Neodiprion lecontei: one gene and its partners. The protein of the gene in region 2 purifies or fractionates together with the protein of the main gene of each other region. This does not show direct contact. Links are inferred from orthologs where the notes say so. Each region holds a gene or a part of one and is shown on either strand. Other genes may lie near its edges.

Evidence for each region. Proteins that work in one complex are often made in the same cells at the same time.
Region 1: the proteins of ATP-dependent RNA helicase me31b (region 2) and protein LSM14 homolog B purify together in Drosophila melanogaster (affinity purification with western blotting; 6 studies listed by BioGRID, with this or other methods). This does not show direct contact. The link is inferred for Neodiprion lecontei from reciprocal best matches to the Drosophila melanogaster genes me31B and tral.
Region 3: the proteins of ATP-dependent RNA helicase me31b (region 2) and protein PAT1 homolog 1 purify together in Drosophila melanogaster (affinity purification with western blotting; 5 studies listed by BioGRID). This does not show direct contact. The link is inferred for Neodiprion lecontei from reciprocal best matches to the Drosophila melanogaster genes me31B and Patr-1.

What each region holds. Positions count from the first base shown.
Region 1 is NC_060266.1:24,400,221-24,408,266, forward strand, and holds the start of protein LSM14 homolog B, read right to left. Parts: upstream 4,792-8,046; 5' UTR 4,608-4,791; coding exon 4,487-4,607; intron 3,343-4,486; coding exon 3,188-3,342; intron 3,039-3,187; coding exon 2,723-3,038; intron 1,299-2,722; coding exon 1,103-1,298; intron 1,000-1,102; coding exon 670-999; intron 466-669; coding exon 268-465; intron 1-267. Other genes in the region: cytochrome c1, heme protein, mitochondrial, read left to right, coding at 5,268-5,339, 5,786-5,833, 6,154-6,302, 6,407-6,539, 6,720-6,884, 6,961-7,074, 7,215-7,349, 7,520-7,624.
Region 2 is NC_060261.1:14,905,192-14,913,350, reverse strand, and holds the start of ATP-dependent RNA helicase me31b, read left to right. Parts: upstream 1-3,563; 5' UTR 3,564-3,950; intron 3,951-5,538; 5' UTR 5,539-5,567; coding exon 5,568-5,708; intron 5,709-6,110; coding exon 6,111-6,317; intron 6,318-6,390; coding exon 6,391-6,562; intron 6,563-6,806; coding exon 6,807-6,957; intron 6,958-7,053; coding exon 7,054-7,249; intron 7,250-8,159. Other genes in the region: zinc finger protein 2, read right to left, coding at 683-848, 1,029-1,716, 2,219-2,279. UniProt on the Drosophila melanogaster protein: ATP-dependent RNA helicase which is a core component of a variety of ribonucleoprotein complexes (RNPs) that play critical roles in translational repression and mRNA decapping during embryogenesis, oogenesis, neurogenesis and neurotransmission.
Region 3 is NC_060263.1:35,074,032-35,082,200, reverse strand, and holds the start of protein PAT1 homolog 1, read right to left. Parts: upstream 4,792-8,169; 5' UTR 4,677-4,791; coding exon 4,638-4,676; intron 3,890-4,637; coding exon 3,692-3,889; intron 3,451-3,691; coding exon 2,880-3,450; intron 2,771-2,879; coding exon 2,667-2,770; intron 2,389-2,666; coding exon 1,877-2,388; intron 1,773-1,876; coding exon 1,559-1,772; exon of another isoform or gene 1,558-1,558; intron 1,486-1,557; coding exon 1,270-1,485; intron 1,168-1,269; coding exon 904-1,167; intron 816-903; coding exon 558-815; 3' UTR 1-557.

The DNA of each region.
Region 1 (8,046 bases), on a different chromosome or scaffold from region 2:
CGGAAGCTACAGTGTTACACCATTTTTATCTAGTATGAAATTCACATTCATCGCTTCAATTGATATGAAGTGAATCCGGCACTTTTCATACATAGAAGGTCACTTGCAAGTAAAAGATACAGACAGAAATCTGAATAAGTTAGAATAGTAAATTCGTCAAATTCTTCCAGAATTTCAATTCCCGTATTATTGAAACATTTTTACTTTTGGCAAAATAGCAAAGAACGTTGTTTTATAACGATTTGTAAAATGCGTGACGGAACTTACCCTTTACTCCTCTCTACAGCTTCGCAACTAATGTTGTCAAAGAATGATTTGGACTTGTCGTAATGTACGACGTCCGTTTCTTCCTCAGGCTCTCCCTCGCCCGCTCCAGTTTCATTGCCGCTATCGTCTTTTTTCTCATTGTCAGTACCGTTGTCAATCTTAGTCTTAGCCAATTGGGACCTGCAATTTTCAATCAAACTGCATACTCCGTCATAAATTATATGGCAACTCATTTGTCCAAATGTTAATAAGCAATGTATCAAACCAGATCTCACCGAGAATATAAATCCTTTAAATTTTAATATACTCGGTTTAAAATATATTACTTGAATGTATTTACAAAAACGGGCATTTCAATATCTAGTTCGAAAACAGCGAATTGTATTGTTCAAGTGCGTCTACCTTAGCTCTTCGAACTGCGTATTGGCTTGTTCGAAGTCGTAGTCATTCTCGAACTTCAACATGTTCTTCGGCTTGTTATTTATGCTTCCTGGCTGCGGGGGTCTGAAGGTACCTCCGCCACCACCGCCGCGTCCCCTTCCTCGTCCGCGAATATTTCCTCGAGCTATCCAACCGCCGCGATTTCCGCGTCCCGCCTGATGCATCTGGGCGTGATTCGGCCCTGAAGGATGTCCGTGTCCTTGAAGTTGATTTCCGTCCTGCTTTTCACGATTGTCACGCTTTCCGTCGCTATACTGGGACATGCCGCTGCCGGTTCGCCCGCTGCCATGACTGCGAAAGTTTATTTACATAGGTAAATTGCACAGTTAAAGAAAATGAATGAGCAATGATAGAATATTTAAAGAATGAAAGTACAAGTCATATTTTTACCAACCTTTCACGATCGCGATAAGATGGTTGTATGGTTCTAGCGTTGGGCTTGTCGCTCATCGGTTTGTGGATGTTGGCGTTCGTCGACCGCTGTTGATGGCCAACCTGCGTGCCCTGATCCATAGTCGGACTTTTCCTAGTCATCAGGGATGAAGTGGGAGTAGTCGATCGAGATCCTCCGCTGATCAAGTCCAACACACCTGTGTAGCAGGGGGGAAAATTCGATTTTTTAATTGGGATACTTTTGTTTTATCCTTTGACTTTCCACACGTATACAAACAATATTTTTGAGGCAATCTTGAGGCAGACGAATTTACCAATAATGCAAGAGAAGACAGACATCCTGTTCTAATGCGATCAATGATGCCCTTGAACAATTCTGGTGTATTGCCATGAGATATTGGACTTTTTACATCTTCCGCAGCTCTGTCACATTAAATAAGCCGCAGAAGATGCATTTTTGTCAATTAGTTTTAGTTATCTACAGCACCGGATAATTGAAGAATTATTCAGCTGATTTCCGACAAAAAAAGAACCAGACAGACAGTGAATGTTGTTTCAAAAATTTTGAAACTGTTCTACATCTTGAGTAATACGTTATAATTGAAGGTCACAATTATCACACGGTGCTGAGATGGTTAGTAATAGTTATTTAGAAGGTAAAATGGTAAACTGTATGAAACGGTAGCAAGGAAGATGAACAATTATATTAAAGCATCGGTGTACTCTCTTTTAAAATGATCTCATAGTGATTTTCTACAAATTCATGCTAGATTTCGGAACATGACAAATGAAAAAAACAAATAAATAAATCATTTAAAAGAATTTGCAATTGAGAATAAATGAATACATGCCAACAACGTGGATAGAGATAGAGATAGATGGAAAGATGGATCGCACAAGTAAAGTTGCAATCGATTAAGGAAAGTTACACGTATTTTATACCATAATGTAAATGATAACTGGTTTTGCTATATTTGTTCTTTCGTTTGTTTGTAGGCAAAACTATACTGTTCCTAGTTGAAGAAGAAACAGATTAAACATGCAACGAAAAGAGTCAAATGGAACAGTGACAAAGCACTATTGAATCGATACGATTTGGTTAAGGAGTTTTAAAAGCTGTTCCAAGAGTGAGCTGAACAATACCAAAACTTGAAAGTACAGTTCACCTCATGACTGAAACATTGCACATGTAAATAACGAGAATTTGATATAAATAATTCTTTATACGATCCGCGTCATGTTTCAAATGCAAAAAATGAGTTGAAATTTCTCAAATGTAGCGAGTTGAGATAGATGTAATAAAATTCGTAGAATAAAAAAGCATCTATTCGCAGAAGCAGATTTAAAAGAAAGACAAGAAAATATGTACAGAGACCAGCCAAAGCAGAAGTGCATTAATGTAATGTTATTTTTGCAGCAAGAACCGTAATTTTTCGGTCCACGTTAAACCGTTCATAATAAAAAAGGCACGACTGACTCTTTTTCTCTTGGTTGAAGTAAAAAAGCAACGAGAGGCGAGCAGATGTTAGATAAAAGTGAAGAATAAATAAACAATTATACCAAATCAAGCTGAAAAGCATCAGGCATGCCGGGTAGCAAGATCATAGCAAAAACAGTTTACCATCTTCCAAAGATTGGTCTTTTTGAATTTGATCAACGTTGCCCGGTGCTATCGAGTTTGGGATCGAGACGACGTTGGGTGCTCCAGTGGAGCCCAGGCCCAACTCACTTGGTTGTTTGTTCATAGCGACTCGAGGATCTCGTCCAGCTGCAGGCATACCCATAACTGGACCCATGGCTCCCATGGCTCCAATTCCACCCATCGCGTATCCGCCTCCGTACTGGCCGCCCATTGGTCCGATTTGACCCATCATCGGATGGTTGAATCCTGGCTGTGGCTGGTAAGACGGCTGACCCATGTTGGGCTGTACTGTCATCTGTGAATTGGTAATATTTATGTAACAAGTAACCGAGCTGCCGCGTCTGCCGTAATAAAGCTGGACAATTTACACAAGTGTTAGTAAAATTGAGCGATGAAGCAAAATAATTCATTTCAAAAATGATCTTTGAATCAGCAATATTTTACCTGGACAATGGCTGGATCGTTTGGAATGGTGCTGACATTGTTGACGACTCTGATGTCTTTAATGTCAGATCCTCGAAATAATATGTATTCATAGACTTGGTTTTGTGGCGCTACTGGAAACTGGGTTTCTCGATCCTCAGTCCCAAAGGAACGAACTGTAACGAATAAAAACAGTCTTAACGAAAAATAGTAATCGATCGTTAGTGAGTATTTGGCACTCGTCGGAATGTGTCTTAAAAATAATAATAATAACATTAACGATAATTTATGAATGAAAATTATTGAACATTGTCTGAATTTTACTCTCTCTATTGATATTAGAGAAATTGGAAAACTTGTGAGTAAAATGCAAGACTGTTATTTGAAAATAATCGAGCAAAAACATATATCTTTGTAAGAAAATCAGAAAGTACAATTGATTGACGATTATCAATGATGTGATACGTTATACACAAAATCGATTCCAACTATGTTTACGTTTACGTTAATCCCAGAATTCGTTGAGCGGATATTTCAAATCCAAACGGTTCTCGTTTGAATAGATAGAACGCTCGAAGGAGGGAGAAAAAAAAAAACAAAAACAAAAACAAAATACAATCTCTTAGGTGAACCTGAGAGCCCGTCATCATACGACTGTGCTGAAATATATTCTTCACAACAAGCGTTTGAAGGTGATACACGTAATTTTGACTAGGATATCATGATGGAGAAGTGAAATAATAGAAGGGGGGGGGGGGGGGGGGGGGGGGGGGGAAGAGAAGAGAGAAATTACAGTAGATATAACTAATTGAAATATCGCAATGAAATTGTTGTTATTTCAATCATTGCGGATGAAACGTAACTGCGACAAATTTTCGGAAAGAGGAATAACAACGTAAAGAATGGAAATACATAACACAGCGGAAGAACGAGAAAGAGAGAGAGGGGGTGAGGGGGGAAGGGGGGGGGGGGGGGAGAGAAAGACAGAGAGATAGGCAAAAGATTGCGACGCGAGATTGCAGGATCGTAAACTCTGGTGACCTGGATTGTTTTCATAAAAAGAAATGAGAGAAAAATATATGATATGAAAAAGTGATAAGTTAAGGTAGTACAGAAGAACTGTCAAAAAAGAATATAATCAACCGGTATCAATAGTTGAGAATGTAAAAGCTACTTGTGGAATATCGAGTAGTTGTTGAATTACAGGGAAATAAAGGTAATAAAAGATGTTCTGGTCGTCTGCGAGCATCGGGCGGTTAGGCTAAACTATGAAAACGGCGGAAACAAAGTTGATGCGAGAAAGAAAGGAGTCCATCTTACCGTTGGCTAAGGCGATCGTGCACTCCTGTGGATCGACGGTAAATAAACGGCCTTCATAACGAATATCTGCCTTCGATATTAGGCTTATCTTAGAACCAAGCTCCGGCATTCCGGCACTCATCTTGAAACTTTTATGTATTACTAACGATCAACGAGATGTACTTAGATACCCGATACCGTCCGCATCTACCGCTCCATACAACCGTCTGAACGCGAAACGATATACCACAAAAACTATGCGCTGCTGACTCTCTATACGCTCTACGCGCCAGCTGACACCGATGGACGATGTACGCGATGGCGGAGGATCTACGACACCCGAACGCAAGGCTGCCAACTTGACGATACGAACGCGCGTCGGTCGTCTGCTCGAAAATCTGGTCTAATCTTAATCTGAAATTTTTAATTATTACAAAACTTTTCACCGGTCAGCTACGCGTCGGTGATAAATCTGTTTCAGGCATCTATCGTTGTTCGGATTTTCAGCGTTAGATGATTTCCAATAATTTAGGACTCTCACATTTACCGTTCGACAAACGCTTAGATAACGTTGGCTAACATGGAATCGTGACGTCATCGCAATATTCCTAATCTTACAATAATTGATTTTAATTATATTATGAATAGCATTATAGTCGATATTTGAACGAAAATTAATAATATTTTCAACCTCCATTTATCCGGTATTTATACTCGGGATGTATGCAGAAAAAATATCTTCGTCAAATTAACGGTACATCCAACGACTCGTGTTCTTTTGCAGTCTGCACCTCTAGCTAAGATGGCGGCATCGCTGGGAAGGGTTTGCGGTTCGGGTCTTTTAAAAGCCAGTAATGGTGCTCTATTTAATCAAGTAGGTAAATTTTGACCCGAAAAATCGTGGCTTACTACTCAGAGTTTAATTCGCGATAATTCCGATCGAGCTGTTCCTTTTGTCAAAGTCACAAATTGGCCACGACTGTCTCTCTATCGAGGGAAGTTCACTCCTCACAAACCTTTGACTGAACGTTTTACCATCATAATTTAACCGTCTGTAATCGTCAGTTCGTTATTACGAGTCATCTATAGTTAGTTTCTAAGATAGCTGGCGGTTTATTGACAAACTACTTAATCAGAGCAAAGGTCCAGAGGATACTTTGACAATTTTAGTGTCCATTTAAAATGATATATTCTCCCTTCATACACGTTATGTAATAGAGCAACATTCAGCCTCTTGTTATGTACGCCTGTTGACACATTTTATGCAGTTCTGAATTTATCATTATAACGAGAAGAAATATCTCCTTCATCTTCTTGCAGGTCAGCACCTTCTCGACCGCCCGAGACTGGGCAAAGGGACGAAAAACGGTACGTCACATAACAATGCACAGCGTCTAACGTCCTTCCCTGCCCTATCCCAACCTCTAGAGTTCCTAAAATTCATGACGACATCCCTGAAGTTTGATTTTATTTTACTCCGTGAGTAAAATATACCAGGATATTAATGATATCCCATGATATCCCTGAAACTAGACAATTGGACATTTTTGGTATTTGAAAACCTGACGCGAAGGGCGATCGTACAGTTTGTAAAAATAATTTTAATATCTTAGTCAGTTACGTGTTTCTCACCGCATTTCGATGTGTAAATAATTCCCAACCGCAGTGGTTTCTATTGAAATTTGCAGTTGCTAGCATGCCTTGGCGTTGCGACAGGCGGTGCTGGAGCTTTGGTATATGCCTTGGAAAGTTCCGTGAAAGCTGAGGGCGTTGAATTACACGCTCCAAATTATGCCTGGGACTTTTATGGGCATTTAAGTTCCTTCGATCATGCCAGGTAACGTTGAATCAAATGTGATGTTAATTGGACTTCTAGGAGAAGTGTAAAATATATGTAGAGTCGGAAGATTGAAACGTAACTTGCACTCATAACAATTTCAGCTTGAGAAGAGGTTGGGAAGTATATAAGAACGTCTGCTCCTCGTGCCACAGTCTCAAGTACGTCGCATTCCGTGAGCTCATTGGCGTTACTCACACGGAAGCGGAAGTTAAGGAAATGGCTGCAGAATATGAGGTTTGTTGCTCCTCTTTCTAGATTCGAGAGTAACGCTGAATAGTAGAGGTATCTGATTTCAAGAATTTCACATCTCCGGGGATGGGGAGAGTAGTTAAACAGTTATAAAATTGCTTCCATGTCGTAGTATACACGCATCCTTTCGCATTCATCTCACTTGTGTTTTTAACTCTACTTCAGATCAAGGACGGTCCAAATGACCAGGGAGAATATTACATGAGGCCAGGAAAACCCTCGGATTACGTCCCTTCGCCGTATCCCAATGAGGAGGCTGCTCGAGCAGCTAACAATGGTGCTTATCCACCAGACTTGACGTATATAGTAAACGCTAGACACAACGGAGAGGTCGGTACTATTTTACGCTACGCAATTTTACTACCTTCTGACTTATTTCATCAATTTCATTTACATCTCTTTCCAGAATTACATCTTTTCTCTCTTGACTGGCTACTGTGACCCACCTGCTGGCGTCGTTCTAATGGACGGCCAGTATTACAACCCTTATTTCCCTGGTGGAGCTATCGGTATGGCACAGGTAAGCCAGCAAAATTACGAATCGCCTGTACTTGTAGTTGATTTACAATAATCAATTTATGCCAATGATATTCAATGTACTTATAGAATTTTCTCCTCCAGATTTGATCATTTTATTCCAATTTTTTTCTCAAAAAACAGGTAATCTATGACGAGGTACTTGACTTTGAAGACGGAACTCCAGCAACTGCATCGCAGGTAGCCAAAGATGTAGTCAGCTTCCTTACTTGGGCATCGAACCCAGAGTTTGATACCAGAAAGCGATGGTTTATCAAGGTGACGATTTTATAAACCTGTACAATTCAAAACATATCGTAACAGTTACCTTTCAAAAAGATACGATTATCAGGCTATTTATTGCTGCCAAATCATAGTTTGTTTTTCTATTCACATATGCTTTATCAGCAATTGTTAATGGTTTCCTCGTTCTTGTTTTTCTATTACAGGCCGTGGGAATCTTCACGTTATTGCTTACGGTTACTTATTACATGAAGAGACACAGGTGGTCAACCATCAAGAGTCGTAAGATCGTTTTTGCGCCGAAAAAGTAGTAAAAGTTTGCAGATATAATAACACGAGTTAAAATAATTAGCCAAGAAAAATTATCTGATCCCTCATGATAAAGGAGAAGTAGTTTTTTATTTAAAACCGCAAGGAACAGAGACAATTTTCGATGTTAAACAGTCAAGAAAAGCAAAGAAAAAAAAGAAAAATAATAGTAAGAACTTACGTTGAATAAATCGTGACCACATGCATGCGAACGTTGGAAGAACTGGCAGACAAATATATGTTTGTATATTCAACATCAAATAATATTAATAATATATTAATATCTGTACAATGTACATAGCGACAATGATCTATTTACCCATTGACCTAGGATTGGGTAATTTGTCAAAATAAAAACAAAGAAATACAATACTCTCCGCAAATCAACAAATATCTCTATAACAAACAATATTGCCTCTGCCAT
Region 2 (8,159 bases):
ATTTCGAGGGTTAGGTTAGGCATCGAAAGGGCGCGCACAGTGGCTGGAATGCCAAATTCGCGGACAAGTTGCAATAAATATTCAGGTTTTTCTCAGGATGCAATGAAAGTCAGTACTCCTAAATTATATTCATCTTACGATTAATGCGATTTGTATGAAAATGGGTACACGAGGATTTTGAAGATTGCTAGTTTCGAATTAGAAATCCGGACTTTGCAGACTCAAAATGGCGAACTCAACATGTTGGTGGAAAACTATCCAATTTAATAAAAATCACTACTCATGCAGGATTTTCAAGGTGCTGATTTCAAATTGGAAGACAAAGTTTTTAAATCTAAAATGGTGAATTTAAAATAGGGTCCACAATAGACTGAGCTCTAATAATGACTCGATTTTAGTTACGGCTTTTTTATATAGGTAGAATAACTGCGATAAAACTATAATAGCAACGGTGTCTCTTCAACGCCTGTCGATATTGTACAAAATGTAAAGAAATAATAATGCATATTTTGCAATTAAGATGCGATTCAAGTTTATTTTGTTGTTATTCTTTGCTTCTATAGTCTTTTAGTTATATGTTTGTAATAAAGGCTGAACAAAAAGAGGAATATTTGTAACGAGTTTATAGCTTACTCGTGTAATAACATTCAATTTGATACAACGTTAGTTATTAATAGAACGTTCAAGTTAAACTATTTTCTCTTCTCTGGGAAATTCGATACTTCCGACACGCTTCTGGGCAATGACGTTCCAAATATCGTCGTTGAGAGAATGCCTTGAAGCACACTCCACACCGCCATTGCCATTGATGGTGATTTCGGGTCCGTTGATGAGCCCTCAAGTTTGATCTGCGCAGAGAAATTTAGCAGTGGACATTGTAAAATGTTTACAACGTAAATGAAAGGAAACAGTTTTCGAATTTCACTTTTCACGGAGTGAAATATTATGTGAAAGCAATTCTGCAAACCTCAAAGGTTGTAAATTTGGAAGATTTGCCGATGTAATTGAATTTTGAATTTGTTACGCACCGATCGGCAAATGATTTTTGGCAAACCGGACACTCGAACGGCCTTTCACCGGTATGAAGTCGAAGATGGCCTTTCAGTACCCAAGGTCGATCAAAGCTCTTCCGGCAATACGGGCAGTAGTGCAAGGCTTTGATGCGTTTCCAAGTTTCCGTGTTTCCGACATCCGAGTAGGGCGCTCTTTCTTCTTCGTAAAATCTTATCGCTTTGATCAAAGTGTTACTAGCCGGTAATCGCATTGTGGGAGATAAATCGACCGACTCGGGGTCGACGCACTTTCCGTCGGATGATTGATTATCATTTTTACAGCATTTCCCGCCCTCAGCGTTTATTTGTGCGTCGTTGATTTTTATAATCTCGCATCTTTCGATCAGTTCTTTGTCGGCATCGAAAACTTTCTTCCTTGCGTTCAAGTCACACAGGTAATTCGTTACCGTCGGCGCGCTTGCAATGACTGTAGACGTTGAAAGTACGTCGGCTGATTCACCGGAATCTATTAACTGCAGGCCTAGTTCTTCCGGAATTGATGTGTTCCATAACATGCTGTTATCTTTCTTAAAGCTGTATCGAGTTACGATTGAAAGTCTTGGACAAGTCCACATATTTATAGACTTTGAAGACACTTCTTTGCTTTGATTTTTTTTTCTGATATCAGATACTGTCGGCAACCACGACACGGAAAGTTCGTTCTCTACGAAAAATTGTGGAATATTATTGAAAATGGGTTGAAAAAAAAAGAAACAATTGATGCTAAGCATCACTGATCTTATAAATGATTAGGGTAAATTGGATCTTTCACAACATAATGGAACTTATCGCGAATGGTCGATTGCACAGTAACATTGTTGATGAAGAAAACAGTGGTGATATAACCTATAATCAAGAAAACGCAATGCGCTAGAGAAAATTTCGCGGGTTTGAGCTGGAAAATTAGCTACCCATATCGCATAATTTCTTCCCTGGAAATTGATCTCCACTTAACCCTGAAAATTTGCACCTACTCTTTAATAATGGTGAGTGGAATTTTGACGTTGCTCCAAGTTTTCTGTTGCGTTGGTTTTGTACGTAAAGAGTTACAGAAATGTACCATTTACAAACCTCGACTGGAACATGATCGGCGAGCAAAATTTTGCACCAATTAAGCAAACAATTTTTCAAAATAAAAGATGAAAACAATATTGAGTGATACATACCGTCATGTAAATTACTTGTTTTCTGATATCTTGTCATCGATTTAATCAGGCAGTGTGGCATGTTGTTTACGTTTGTTTATTATTCTTTTACAATATCAAGGAATGTATTGAAAAATTGCAATTATGTCAAATACACTATTTTCTGTAGAGTAATAAATCTGAAAACTTATTTGAACAAGTGATCCACTATTGGCGTGTTTCGAAATATTCTTCTTCAAGGCCATAGATACATTAATCCCGGACCGCATTGAGAAGGTTGCAAAAAAGAAACACCAGACAATCTGTACCCACGAGTGTGACGATGAGACATTGATTGACATGTCATGTGTCATTATCAATCCCGTCAAACTCTGTAACCTCGGAAGTTGGTACATCAGTCTACGAAATGGTAACCTAATAATAAGAGCCATGATACTTGTGTTTTAGTATGGTGATACGAATTCAAATTACCCATAAGCTTGATGCTTGCGTTACAAAGATTTACGCAAGGTATACTTTTCCGGGCTTGTTCGAAAATAGTTTGGTATTTCCAACCCTAAAAATTCCTTAGAAATGAGACAGAGTAAGCAGGCGATCTGGTAGAGCAAAAAAATCATGAAACTACTTTCACTGCCCAGCGAATACTGGGCAGCTGATCTCTTCTTCCGCTCTCGAGTAATTTGATTCATTTCACTCGACTCAACGGATCAGTTAGTGTTTCACGGATCTATAAATTTTGAAGCGTGCTTTGAAGTATCTCTAAAATGTTGTGAAACGTGTGAGGCTGGGACAGGGAGTAAGAAGGAAGGAGACCGATCTCCATGCTGCAAAACTGGCATTGATTTTTAGGTCTCTACAGCAGAGAGAACTGCCAGTACTTAAAATTCCCTAGGGCAGAGACAGAGCTGTCCATGAACTCGGCAGCGCAAAAGAGATGAAAGATTGCTGACAGTACTGTCCACGGTCTTACATACAGGTCCGGAAACTAGTAGGGTGGGGAATGACTCAGATAATGAGGAAGAACCGTGGTTCCCGTCTTCGCCGTCTGCAGCGCTGCCCCCTCGGGGTGAGCCAATCATAAATCAGATCCGAACAGCTGATTTTTCGGAATCAACAATCCTGAATTTGTTACACCGTTTACACACTTTACACTGAGTTATGAACTGTCAAAAACTTCGACGAGCAGATCATCTTATCGGTATATATCTATATTTATTATACCCCGGGCCACTGGCGCCCCTAGCGGATAGATAGGAAACAAGACCGTGTGCCTTACTAACGGTGACACCCCCTACCACTCAAAAGTGCTGGAGTTACCAGACCTGTATGTAAGATCGTGGTACTGTCAGTAAATTTTCGAACACGGCCCTGGTGTCGCAGCGATAATCTTTCACTCTGTTGTTACTGGTTTCGTGGAACGCCACGCACCGAGCGCCACAAGGCAACCGCTTGTGTTCCGAAAGTGTTTTTATTCTTTTCACGGCACACATCGTGTTACATTCAAAGATAATAATTATTGGCTCGCAATTGACGCAGTGCGTTCATTGTTAAAGTTATTGTAAAAACAATATACCAGTAGCGTCGTGATACAATCCCGTGTAATATATATCCGAAAGTAGAAGGTTATTGTGCCACGGAAGGGAGCCAGGCCGCACAGCCGAGATTATAAAAAGTTGACATTGGAACGGCCATTTTGGCGTGTTGTTTCCGAATCGAGTGCTGTGTTTCAGCATCGATATCCATCAGTTTGAAGGTAAGATACACCTTCTCTCACCTCATTCTATGAACCGTATTATGGAGTTTGAGCCACATTTCTGACTTAAGTTCATAATACATCTTGTTTGGACTCATCAATTATTTATTTCGGTTTATAAATCAAAGTTCAAAGAACTCTGCGCCAGTTACGGTACAATGGATCCAGCTTGGCATAAGATTTTCGCCCGCGATATTCTATTCCGTATTGTTAGTACTTGGTGAAATTTTTCTCACCGTTATCAGCATCTACACAAATATTTCAATTCATGATTATACGTGTACACCTCGTATCTTGCTTGGTTAGATTATATATTTAGAGAATTCTGAGCGAAAAGAGAAAAAGAAGAGAAACCTTCGGTTGGCATGGCATAAAGCCTCGTTTATACACCCGTTTGGCACTGCGGTGGCTTAGTAAATTCATAATGGAGGATGTATATACCAGTTTTGTTGATACACCGTACACATCGGTATATTCATCGTTTTTTATTTGCTCAAATAGCTGGCCTGTAGCCACATGATTTTTTTTACCGAAAAAAGCACAGTCGGTTCATTTTCAAACATAGTAAAATAACGGCAATCGAATCAAGCGTAGAGAGTAATAAAATTATCATATACTTGTTATTGGCAATCTAAAAAGAAAAAATTTCAAATTTTATTTGAAAATTATGAAAATCATTCAGCTATATTTTATATGTTCAGCCATGTACTGTTCAAGGTACATTTCAAACCGACTGCTCGATCTTTGTACTCAGCGAAGCTTGACAATATAAACACATTTTTTCAGCAACAGCGTATGTGTACCTTGAATTGAACTAGTATTCACAGTTTGTGTATTTCTTGTTCAGTTTTGAAATTTTTTTTCGTAGCTCAAAGTACAGCTTAGCGCTATACACACCTTAGCTTTTCTTTGTTTTGCCATACATTCAGACATTTATGATCACGGTCTTTTGCAATACATGAATCTTATATATTGAGAATTGTTTCTCCCTTCTTTTCTCTTGCCATTCGAGCTCTCTTGCACATTCCCTCCCTTTTATTTCTATCTTACTTTATTTCTATCATGAGCTGCTTCATTTTTTGATTTAGTTTCTTTTGTAATTATATAGTTGTTTTGGTAATACGATTAAATTTATATCAACCTCGTGCCAAATATTTTCAGCTAGTCTACACATATTTGTTGAATTAAAATTTACACTTGGTGTTAAAATGAACTCCTTGTACTCTGAATTTTTCACGTTGATTGTGAATATTGTTATTCTTTTAAAGCCATTGTCAAGTACACGTCCTGCTGATAACGCCTACTGTAGATAGCTGCAATGTTTCGATAAAATTCGCAGAATGTACGGTTATTTCATGTTTCACAAGGCTTATTGTTCCGTGTGTCATCTTCAATTTCTATTTTTTGTATTGTTGAATTTCATTCTGAAATTAACAGTTCCTATTACAGGCATAACTTTCATAAATGTTTGTAACAGGTTGATGAAAATAGTAAGGAAATGAAGATGTGAACTTCCGAGGTTTAGGATCCGGGGTATACAAATAAAGTGGATTATGATTATAATTTCATCTTGAATTCTGTCTTTCAGGAAATTTGAGACACTCTAAAGCCTACGATATGATGACCGAAACTCATATTAATTCTAATCACATGCTGAATTCCGGCTTGGGTCCAAAAGGTGATCTAGAAAAGATGGACGATATAGGTTGGAAAGCAAAACTGAAAATTCCGCCCAAAGACAAACGCATCAAAACAAGTGTGAGTCAAACTAAACTAAAATTCAAGATAATAGCTGTTGTAAAGACACTTAAATTGATTTGGTAATGCCAACAGTGCTCATTCAGAATCATGGTTCATAAAATTACTAGGAATATGGAAACGGTTGTAATCAATCTTAGTGTCTGACAATTGGAAAATGATGTAAAATTAGACCTTGATAAAAAAAATTTATTTTGGCTAGTGAATGATACACCAATCTCCTAAAATTCCTTCAAGAATACATAAAATTGAGGAATAACACACTAATTATAACATTAGATTACTTTCTTCATAAACATTTTGAACTATTAGCAGTTGAAAAATTTTCTCCTAAACTAATATAATCAGGCATTACTTGTGATGCAAATCAAAGCTACAAGACTTTTTTTTTGTACATCATAGGATGTTACGGACACACGTGGAAATGAATTCGAGGAATTCTGCTTAAAGCGTGAATTGTTGATGGGAATTTTTGAGAAGGGATGGGAAAAGCCATCCCCGATACAAGAAGCAAGTATCCCCATAGCTCTTTCTGGCAAAGATGTACTTGCACGAGCTAAAAATGGTACAGGCAAGACTGGTGCATATTCAATTCCTGTATTAGAACAGGTAGGAAAAGATAAACAAAGAGACATATAGAAAGTTGTTCGAATTTCACTACTTTAATTATTGCATCTTGCAGGTGGATCCACGTAAAGATGTTATTCAAGCATTAGTGATAGTTCCTACTAGAGAATTGGCTCTGCAGACATCACAGATATGCATTGAACTTGCAAAACACATGGACGTCAAGGTCATGGTTACCACTGGAGGAACTAATCTGCGCGACGACATTATGAGGATTTACCAAAAAGGTTAGCGTTTGTTGAATAGTCCGTAATAGTCTGGAAATCTGTTGACAACCAGGGCTTGTTCATCTTCTCTAATAGAAGTTGAAACAGAATTGGTCTTGTACATTGTTCTGTTTTGTCGATTTACCCAATTACGCCATTCTCATACATTCAGACCCAATGTATTAGATTGCTTTTGTTGATTGTAGATGAATTTCCTTCTTAAGATTCCTAATTTATACGCACTTATTGAAATGTACTTTTCCAGTGCAAGTAATCATTGCGACACCGGGACGTATCCTTGATCTGATGGATAAAAATGTTGCAAATATGGATCACTGCAGAATCCTTGTATTGGATGAAGCTGACAAGCTTCTATCCCAAGACTTTAAGGGGATGCTGGATCACGTTATATCCAGGTATAAACTGTTGCAAATGTGGTCCAATCGCATTTTGGTTTTTCTGGATTCAACTAGAAACGAAAATTACAAAATTCTTTACATCTGTGTTTATAGATTACCACAAGAACGTCAGATTCTATTATACTCTGCTACATTTCCCCTAACCGTAAAGCAATTCATGGAAAAGCATCTGAGGGACCCATATGAAATTAATCTGATGGAAGAGTTGACATTGAAAGGAGTGACACAATATTATGCTTTTGTACAGGAACGTCAAAAAGTTCACTGCCTTAATACGCTATTTTCTAAGGTAAAACTCCCTAAATATCAAAACAGATATGGCAGAAATTAATATTTGAAATTCGTACTTGTCCGTTTTTCGTGTAATTGGTTCATTTCCGCATTTTCCAACTATGGCCGTTAGTAATGTTCTTCAATCTCAAATAACTATAAATCAGGTGACTGAATTCTTATGAAGTTGACGTTAGTATCTTTAATGTAACAGAACATTTGGGAAGAAATAACTATCTTTTGCAATGTCAGAATGACTTTCAGAGAGTCAAGTTTTCAAAGTATGAGCATGACTTGCTTAAGTATGGTTTACTGAATTGCACACAGGCCTAAAGGTGTGAGACAGCGATTATTTACTGAAAAGCATCGGTATAGTAGCATTACCAATTTCAGCCGCATGGAGTTTTGATGATGCTAGTAGTTATTTTCTGAAAACTGCTATTAAATTCAATCTTACGTTTAATATATGGGCACTCGCATATCGTTTGTAAGTCAAAGAAATTCGTTCACATCTTTGAAATATCAAAATTCTGATTTTCTTAAACTCCACCATTCTATCCCAATTAACATAAAAAAAGTCAATTACTCTCTGCTCATCAAACTTCTCTGTACATCCAAAAAAATTCAGGATAAATTTTTTCAGGGTGATTAGTAATGCGAATTATTTATTTATTATATCTATTTGCCTGTTACTTACTCGCTTCTTACTAATAAATACGTAATAACGTGCGTCAAACATTACGCAACACCATTACTGGTCATCCTCCTGCCCTGTCAATTTGCTTCCTTGGTTCCCGGAGCATGAGGTAAATTTTGAACGTTGCCTAAATTCATGTAAATACGCTAACAAAAATTCTACCATTTAGTGTAAAAAAAACTCAGTTATGTATGTATATCCTTTTTTAGGGAAAGTTTAACCAATGATGATT
Region 3 (8,169 bases), on a different chromosome or scaffold from region 2:
CAAAACTCTCATTCAATTGTTTGATTTTTAGTCCATCAATACATTAATACATATTTTTTAGAGCGAAGACGAAGGTGTATTAATTTTGAAATATTTGTTCGAAATTTTCAGCCGGACCACTGGATATCAGTAGAAACAGTGTGGATAATTATCATTATTTTCTCACTTTTTTTTCTTCTAAATATGTATATCTCCGATATGGAGTAACTAGCAGATTTTGCTATTTCGTCATAAAAAAGTAAGATAGTTTGAACAGCATTAATATAAATTCTATCAACAGCTATACACAACTGTCTGTGTTTCAATATCTTTTAGAAAAGAGAATATTTTTTTTCAACACTATCTCAAACTAGGCGTAAAATGCATTTCACTGTACTTCACACCGGTTTATGATATCCAGTATTACCTATGTATTCGCTAAGATCACTCAGAGGTAACAAAAACACTGACCCTTCAACATTTCCCATTTTAGTTTTAGAAAGTAGTACGGAAAGTCGCGAAAAAAAAGAATAAGAACGAGAAAAAAAATTCTCAAATTACATATTTTAAAATTGAGACTATCGTGAAGGGTTTGCATCGGTCAACAGTAGTTCCAATGGTGCATACCTTTCAATTTTCAATGATTGAATCCTGTTTAAATGTTGATTAAGAGTATTAGCCGCAATCGGTTCACATGGTGCAACGCTGGGAGGCGTGACTCCGATCGTCTCTACTAGTGTCATAACAAAAGTTGACCAATCGCCAGCCATCGTATCCTCAACTGGAGATAATGTTTCAGCTTGTTCTAACACCGAGGCTATAACCGATACTCCAAACTGCAGTGACAATAAACCAAATTAAGTTAAAACCACTGTAAATATGTAACGATCAGACGAGAAATTGCGAGTCAAAAATGGTACAAACCTTGTTTGTTAAAGCAAATGCTAGGCTGTTGTTTTTTAGTGGTAGAGATGCTGACTCAACCAATGCCTTCGCTAGGCGTAAAACAGAGCCGAAATCAGTTATGGTATGTAACCACCTTCGAAATTCAGGATAAAAGTTTGTCAGTAAATGAGAATCCCTGCGTCCTATAACTACCAATCCGCGAACCAATCCAGTCCACAGATCGCCTAGCTGAGAGCTGTATTCAGTTACGCTCATGTGTGGCAGCAGTCGAAGTAACAACATCTGCAATTGATTTTCCGATCACATAAAGGACCATTTTGTCAATCGATGTATGACGTTTGTTACTCTACAGTGTTAAACTAGACCCTTCATGTAAATACTGACCTTTCCTTTGCGAATGCTGAGCAAAGCGGCTAATTTATCATTTCGCAATATTTGCAGAAACGAAGTTATTAGTTTGCCAATCAGTTCAACTTTGGACTCTTTGATTGGTTTCTTTTCTCCTTCTCCTTCCTGCTGTTGTTGGTGTTGCTGTTCAGCTGCTGCTAATAGAGCTAAAGGATTAGTCAGATCTTCGAGCTTTAACTGCAACGTGTACAACTGGAAAAAAAAGAACAAAGAGAATAACTAGTTGAAACATGATGTTGAATAATTGTAAACATTTCAAACTTACTCTTTCGATCTCTAGTAGAAGTTGACGTGTTTTTTTCGAGTCTTTCTGTTGTGAATGTGGTGCTTGCTGAGGATCGTTGTTTGGAACCACGTCCATGTCAATTATCTTGCGAGGAGCAGTCACACTACCACATTGAAGCTTACCAAGCGAATTTTCAAACTGCATGGGCGTGTAAACTACCTTTGTCAGTATATGTTGTTGCTGATCTCTATCCCTGTTGTGATATACAAATTATTGACATTTAGAGAATAAAATATTATTATCGAATTTATGAGCTTTGTTTGGTTTGCATGTCGAAAAAATATCGAGTATATCTACCTGGAATCTCTATGGTGGCCATTGTTGTTATGATGCCTTCTGTCCTTGTGTTCCTGATTTTCGTTTAGTTTGTTTTGCCTGTCGCAAAATACAGTGTAATAATAATCTTCGACATATGGCTGGTTGGTGTTCAGTTGCAACAGCTGGATGTTGATCAGCCATTGTTTCTCACGATTACTCATAAGGCCGGCGTACTCATCGTAGTCACCCATTGGACCACTCGATCCATTCATACCTTGATAGTGGTGCTGTTGATGATACCGTTGATTATTTCGGTTGTGATTATGATGAGGGTATTGATTGTTTTTGAAAAATGGCTGGTGAGTAGGTGGTTGATGACCAGATGGCTGGTCATTGGAATGGAACGGTCGATTATTCTGAACTGTTCGCTGATTTCCTGAATGGGGAGAGTGCTGTTGATGATGGTTCATTTGATTGTTAGCAAATGGCGGCATCATCGTTTGTTCAGGACGCAGTAATTGAGGTGGAGGGAGTCCTGGATAAGGTGGTTGCTAAAAGTAAAACAAATACCACTTCAATTTCAGGTGTTACATTACTCCTTCTCTTTGCTTTCACTCCTCTCAACTACTCACGAACTAATCTTTATGAGAAATTTTTCGTTACTTTAGGATCGCTACAAATTTTGACATGAATAATATTCCAATATTTATATATTATTTTCAGATTCAATATCAAGAACAAAACCTTACTGAACTCAAAACTTTTTGACTTTTCCAAGTTTTACAGATTTGTAGCAAACCTGTATTCTTTCATGTTATGAATAACTTACAGGATAATTATTACGAAATGAAGGTGGTGGAGGCTGCCTTTGAGCTCCTGGTGGCATCATCAAATGAGGAGGCATAGGGTACCTTAGCATATTACCTTGTTGATCTGAAAAAAACATTGAGACACGATTTGGAGCAGTCAAGTTTCACATACAAAATTTTTTTACCAACATGATAATGAAAATGCTTGAAAATATATAGATGGTTCTACTCACTAGGAAGCAGTCTGTGGTGCTGCATAAACTGAGGTGGTGGTGGTCTCACTTGAGGAGGTAAGATGACACGAGGACCTGGAAGGCCTAATCCTGGGGGAAAACGAGGAGGTGGTAGGCCTTTCATTTGAAGTTCACCCAATGGTACGGAATCGAACAAGAATGGTCCACCTGATGAATGTTGTTGTTGTTGTTGCTGCTGCTGCTGCTGTTGTTGTTGTTGCTGTTGCTGATAGTGTAATTGTTGTTGCTGTTGCTGTTGATGATGGTGCTGCTGCTGTTGCTGCTGCTGCTGCTGCTGTTGTTGTTGTTGTTGATGGTGCTGTTGTAGATGCAGTTGAGGAGGTAGAGGTTTAGCAAGACCTGGAGGCGGTCTACTAGCGATGAGACCTCGCTCCAATTCCTCAACAGTGCAGACATTTTTAAGGGTAGATGAAATCGAAGGACGCTGTTGAATTCTGGGCATAGGAAAGCTCGTTGGGCTGTCCCAAACACCTGGTCGTGGCGTTGTCCCATCTCTATCATCTAGTACCAAGTGTGACAAGCTATCTTCGATATCTATTTCAATGCCATTCTAAAAATGAAAGAATAAAATATTGTGCTTTAAATTGCATCAATCTTGATTTTAATAATTGAACTATCCAGTAAATGCAATATATAATAAAACAATCTGAATTTTTGTATTCCAAATCGGGGCAAAATAACAAATCTGTGTATCATACAAGATTAAAATCAATCATTAAACTTGAAAAGTAGACTGCTTGTAAAAAATCTTAAATTTTGCGGAATCTTGCCCAAGACAAGCAGTTACAAACCCGGTGCAAAGGTAAGCTGGGCGGCTGCTGTCTACAGGACTCGGTGATTCGGGCCAATTTCTCATGATCTTGCTCCCAATCTCCACCTGTTGCTTCCGCTCCGAATGTTTCATCGTTCAATGCATCATATTCATCTTCTTCACCAATAATATCTTCATCTTCCAATGGTCCATCAAATCCATCTTCTAGGCCATCACCCTGTTAAATTTGAGGAATCATACAACAAATGACAAACATTCATCAATCCAGTAGAGAACACATGCAATAGATTGAACGTGCCAGTAATATCGGATGTTATATTTTGCAAATAACCCGAGATCATATTACTTGGTATTTTGACGAATTGGAACTCTGGGTTTCAACAAATAAATATTGAATGAGAAAAAGAGATCAGAGCATTGAAGTGCAAACAGAGACACCTTACTGAGTTGACAAATTAATTTTGAAACTGTTGTACGTGCGAAATTATAGAAACATAACCTATGAGTTATGGCTGACGGTTGAGCTTGGAAGCCGCTGAAATTCTCAGAAAAATCTTGCGAGATTTGATGAAATTTTCACGGTTAGCGACATTCAATGTTATTGACCTTTCCGGGGCGGGGATAATGAAAGACTTAGGTTATGTATAGTACATTCGTGGCCGTATCAGAGTTCACATCCGTGAAAACGTTGTTTGCATCTCGGCTGGTGCAGGGTTAATGTTTAGCGTAATTTCCGTACATGCGAGCGTAAGAAGGATGAGAGATTGTGAAACGTCGACGTGAAATATCATAAAAGGCATTAGCCGCGCGATATGCTATAAAAATAACAAATTTTCGATCCATGCTGTACCGCGACGCGGTCGAAACGCGAAAAAATCAAGGGTTTCCCATCGGCGATACCTTTCCAATCGAAGGAAAATTCCGAACAAATTTAACGAGAAATAATATAGCCAAATACAACTTACAGCGAGAGATGTGTCAAATCCGAAAAAAGAGTCTGCCATTTGTCAAAATTAAATTCGCAAAATGTCATGATCCGACTAAACGTCAAGCGCTGGAAAAGACATCAGCTGTCATGGCGGTCACGACTAACCACGGACTTCCCGACAGGCTTTCGGTATTCCCCGTCAGAGAACGCAACACATCGCGATGGGTCAAATTCACTGTCCCTGAAGCCGCGTTTTCAACCAGTGTTTCAACCTCTCATTTCATAGATGCCATTGATTATTTGCCACGTTAATCAGAGAATGGTACGAAATTTGAAATACGATAATCAAATCATTTGTTCATGGCCCAAAGTACGCTAATAAGAAGGAATATCGAGTGCTACCTCAAAATTATACATATTACGTCTATCTATTGCCCTCTCCGATAGTTCCGATTTCCACCACGCATAAGCGCTGTAATAGGTATGAAACCGGAAGTCAAGTCCGAACGGATCCCAAAGTATTCAAGTGTTCTGGCGGGTTCACGTTTAGCTATGTCAATTCGCAGAGTGTTCCACGAAGACGAAAAAATATACTATAGCGAAATTTTTGAAAATTTGAAATTTTCTTCCAATGTACAGGATTCTTTTCACCTGTGTTTGTTTCAATTCACGTTTGCTTGACTTGTTTATCACCGAAAAATGCCGAAGACTAAACTTGGGAAAAACTCATCTGTTACTACGGCCTCCGACCGTAATGATATGAGCTTTACCCGGTGATGACAGTTGAAATATCCGAATCAACGTCGTTTAAGTCAGTGATTTAAATCTTTTTTCATCCTAGCTTTTCCTGAAATTGTCACCATCGATTTGTAGGATAACGGAATTGCCACAATACAGGAAATGAAAAATATCAAATACCATTGGCGATGGTTCGTAAGAAATATGCTTTAACTTTTCAAAACGATATCCTCCTTTATTATCATCATTATAATAATCACTTTTATTATCTCTTAATCGAGGTATAATTTATCTACACTTGTTCGGTCTAAAACAAGAACAACGATAAAACTCGTCAATTTATTTTATTACGGTGTGCTTAGAGTAACGTTGCGAATGTTATACGTGATATAATTTTTATACTTTTGTTTTAAAAGTACTATCAACATTTCATTTAAACTTTTCTTTAGTCAACATGGTATTGTGCTTGTACATACATCATACAGACTATATACGTGCGAGTGTGATTCATTGTATTCTTGACTGATTGTGCATACATTGCCGTGATAATAAATCACATACCTATATTTATAGATACAGACAGTTTATACTTATTTGTTTTATTCATATAATTGAACAATCCGAAATCTGAGCTTCAAATCAGCCTTCCCGATATTTCAAATCAACTTCTTGTATAAAAGTACAAAAAAATGTTTTTGGCAAACCATAGAAAAGAAGAATTTACAATCTGAACAATATCTGATTGTGAGAACATTGACGATACGAAGAGTATGCGGAAACACAACCGAGGAGTCAATTCTTACTTCTGCGATGAAATAAAGGATTCTACGAGAACAATTGTCCGGCCATAATTGGGAAAGGCTGTTTATTTGTGTATACCGGTTGTTTGTTTTTCCTCTCTCTTTTTGGTTTTGAATTCATACGATAGTTTAGGTATGACTCCGCATATGACTTTTCTCTTCGAACTATCCGTTAAAACATAATTAATTTTATAAAATAATTTTAATTTATGATAAGTTAATTTGTCTTTCAATGAAAAATTATTCGAGATTTTCAGAAAAATTGTTTAATTATCAGGCGAATAATGTTGGCACGATGCTTAATATAATCAGAGAATTTGGAATTCTTGTCCCGCGCCTGGACACTGGCGAAAGGTGTTACTTCAAAGTAATTTTGTCCTCTTTATGCCGGAAGTGGTTCTTTTTTTTGTCAAACTCATAACGATGGTAATCAATTCAATTTTACCAAGAACCCAATAAGCTATTTTCATTCCAACCCTAATTTGGAAGTTACAGAGTTTTACCTAGGTCGAAAATTATTCGTCATAAGTATTTCGACTCCTCCTACCTATAATATTCAACGATAAATTATATCTAATTTGCCTCGTTTCGTATACCGATTAAATACGTAATATCACTATATCGTCAACATTTACGGGTATTTGGTATTATTTCATTAGTTTAATATATCGTTTCGGCATTATATTATATACCTATATGTATACTTAATTCAAGAGGAAATACGCCCGTCGTTTTGTTCCCCGAAAAACTCGCTAATTTGCCGAGTAATAATATGGTATATCTAAATTAGTTCATAGATAATTATTTACGTAGATATCATAGTTATTAGTTTGCGATTGACCAGAATCCGTTGATAGTAACAACGTTGTATGTGCTTTGCAATTGAAATTAATTTTTTTAATAATTCGTTTATCTCTCATGCAGTATATGTCCAGAGTGGGGATCGTATATTTGAAATTTTAAAGCAGTATTTTAAACTTATACGTTCAAGTTTTTCTACAACTCTTTTTTTCTTGTTTACGTTAGAGTCTTCCGCTGCTTCAATCAATGAGTATCAATCAAGTTTTACAGTCTCGCGTGCAGTGATTTACGACGTGGAGCGTGAGTTAGAGGTTAATAGCTTTGCAGCGTCGCGGGCAGGTTGATTTTTATTAGTTAGAAAATATGTCTTATATCGTGAATTATACGTGTACGTATATGAGCTCTTTTAGAACTTTTCTACGCTTTTACCCCTGTACTGTGAGGTTAAACGGTTATGATTATTTGTTTATTTATTCATTTATTTATTTACTTATATATTCATTTATTTAGTTTCATTATGATTATTAGGTTGTCTTGTCTTTTTCTATGAACGAAGTCATATATTGCTATATCATTGTAATCATAACAAAAATAATAATCGAAACAATGATAACGTCTTTAAACAATTAAGTAACCGTAATATACATACATTAAGTTTATATGTATATAATATATATTCATAGATATTTTGTATAATTATTTAACAACATTCTGATATTGCGACTTCAAATTAAAAAATAAATATGTTTCATTATATTACTATTTTATTATATTGCGCAATAAATATCTACTATACCTATATGTATATTATACACGAACATGCGCGTCGATCAATTCAACAACACATTATACTCTTATTACTTAAATTTTAATCGCCTATTAGGAGGAGCATATTTATTAGGGTGTGTGAAAAGATAAAAAATAATTTCCCCGGAAACAGGTTAAAAAATTTCATTTGGGTATAAAAGTATGCCTGTTAAAATTTGAGCTCTTAATATTAACATTAACAGTTTTTGTTCCTTCCGATTCTTATACCTAGCTAACGATGTGTCGTACAGAAAATTCACAGACTTATAATATATAAAATTGAACGCTTTACAAAAAAGATTTCTTATCATTTTGCGATAAATCTAATCTTTCAAAAGTTATTTAAGGTCCTTCAACAATTTCTGATCTCAAATAACGTTTGAAAGAGTAGATTTATCATAAAATAATAACAGGCCCTTTTTG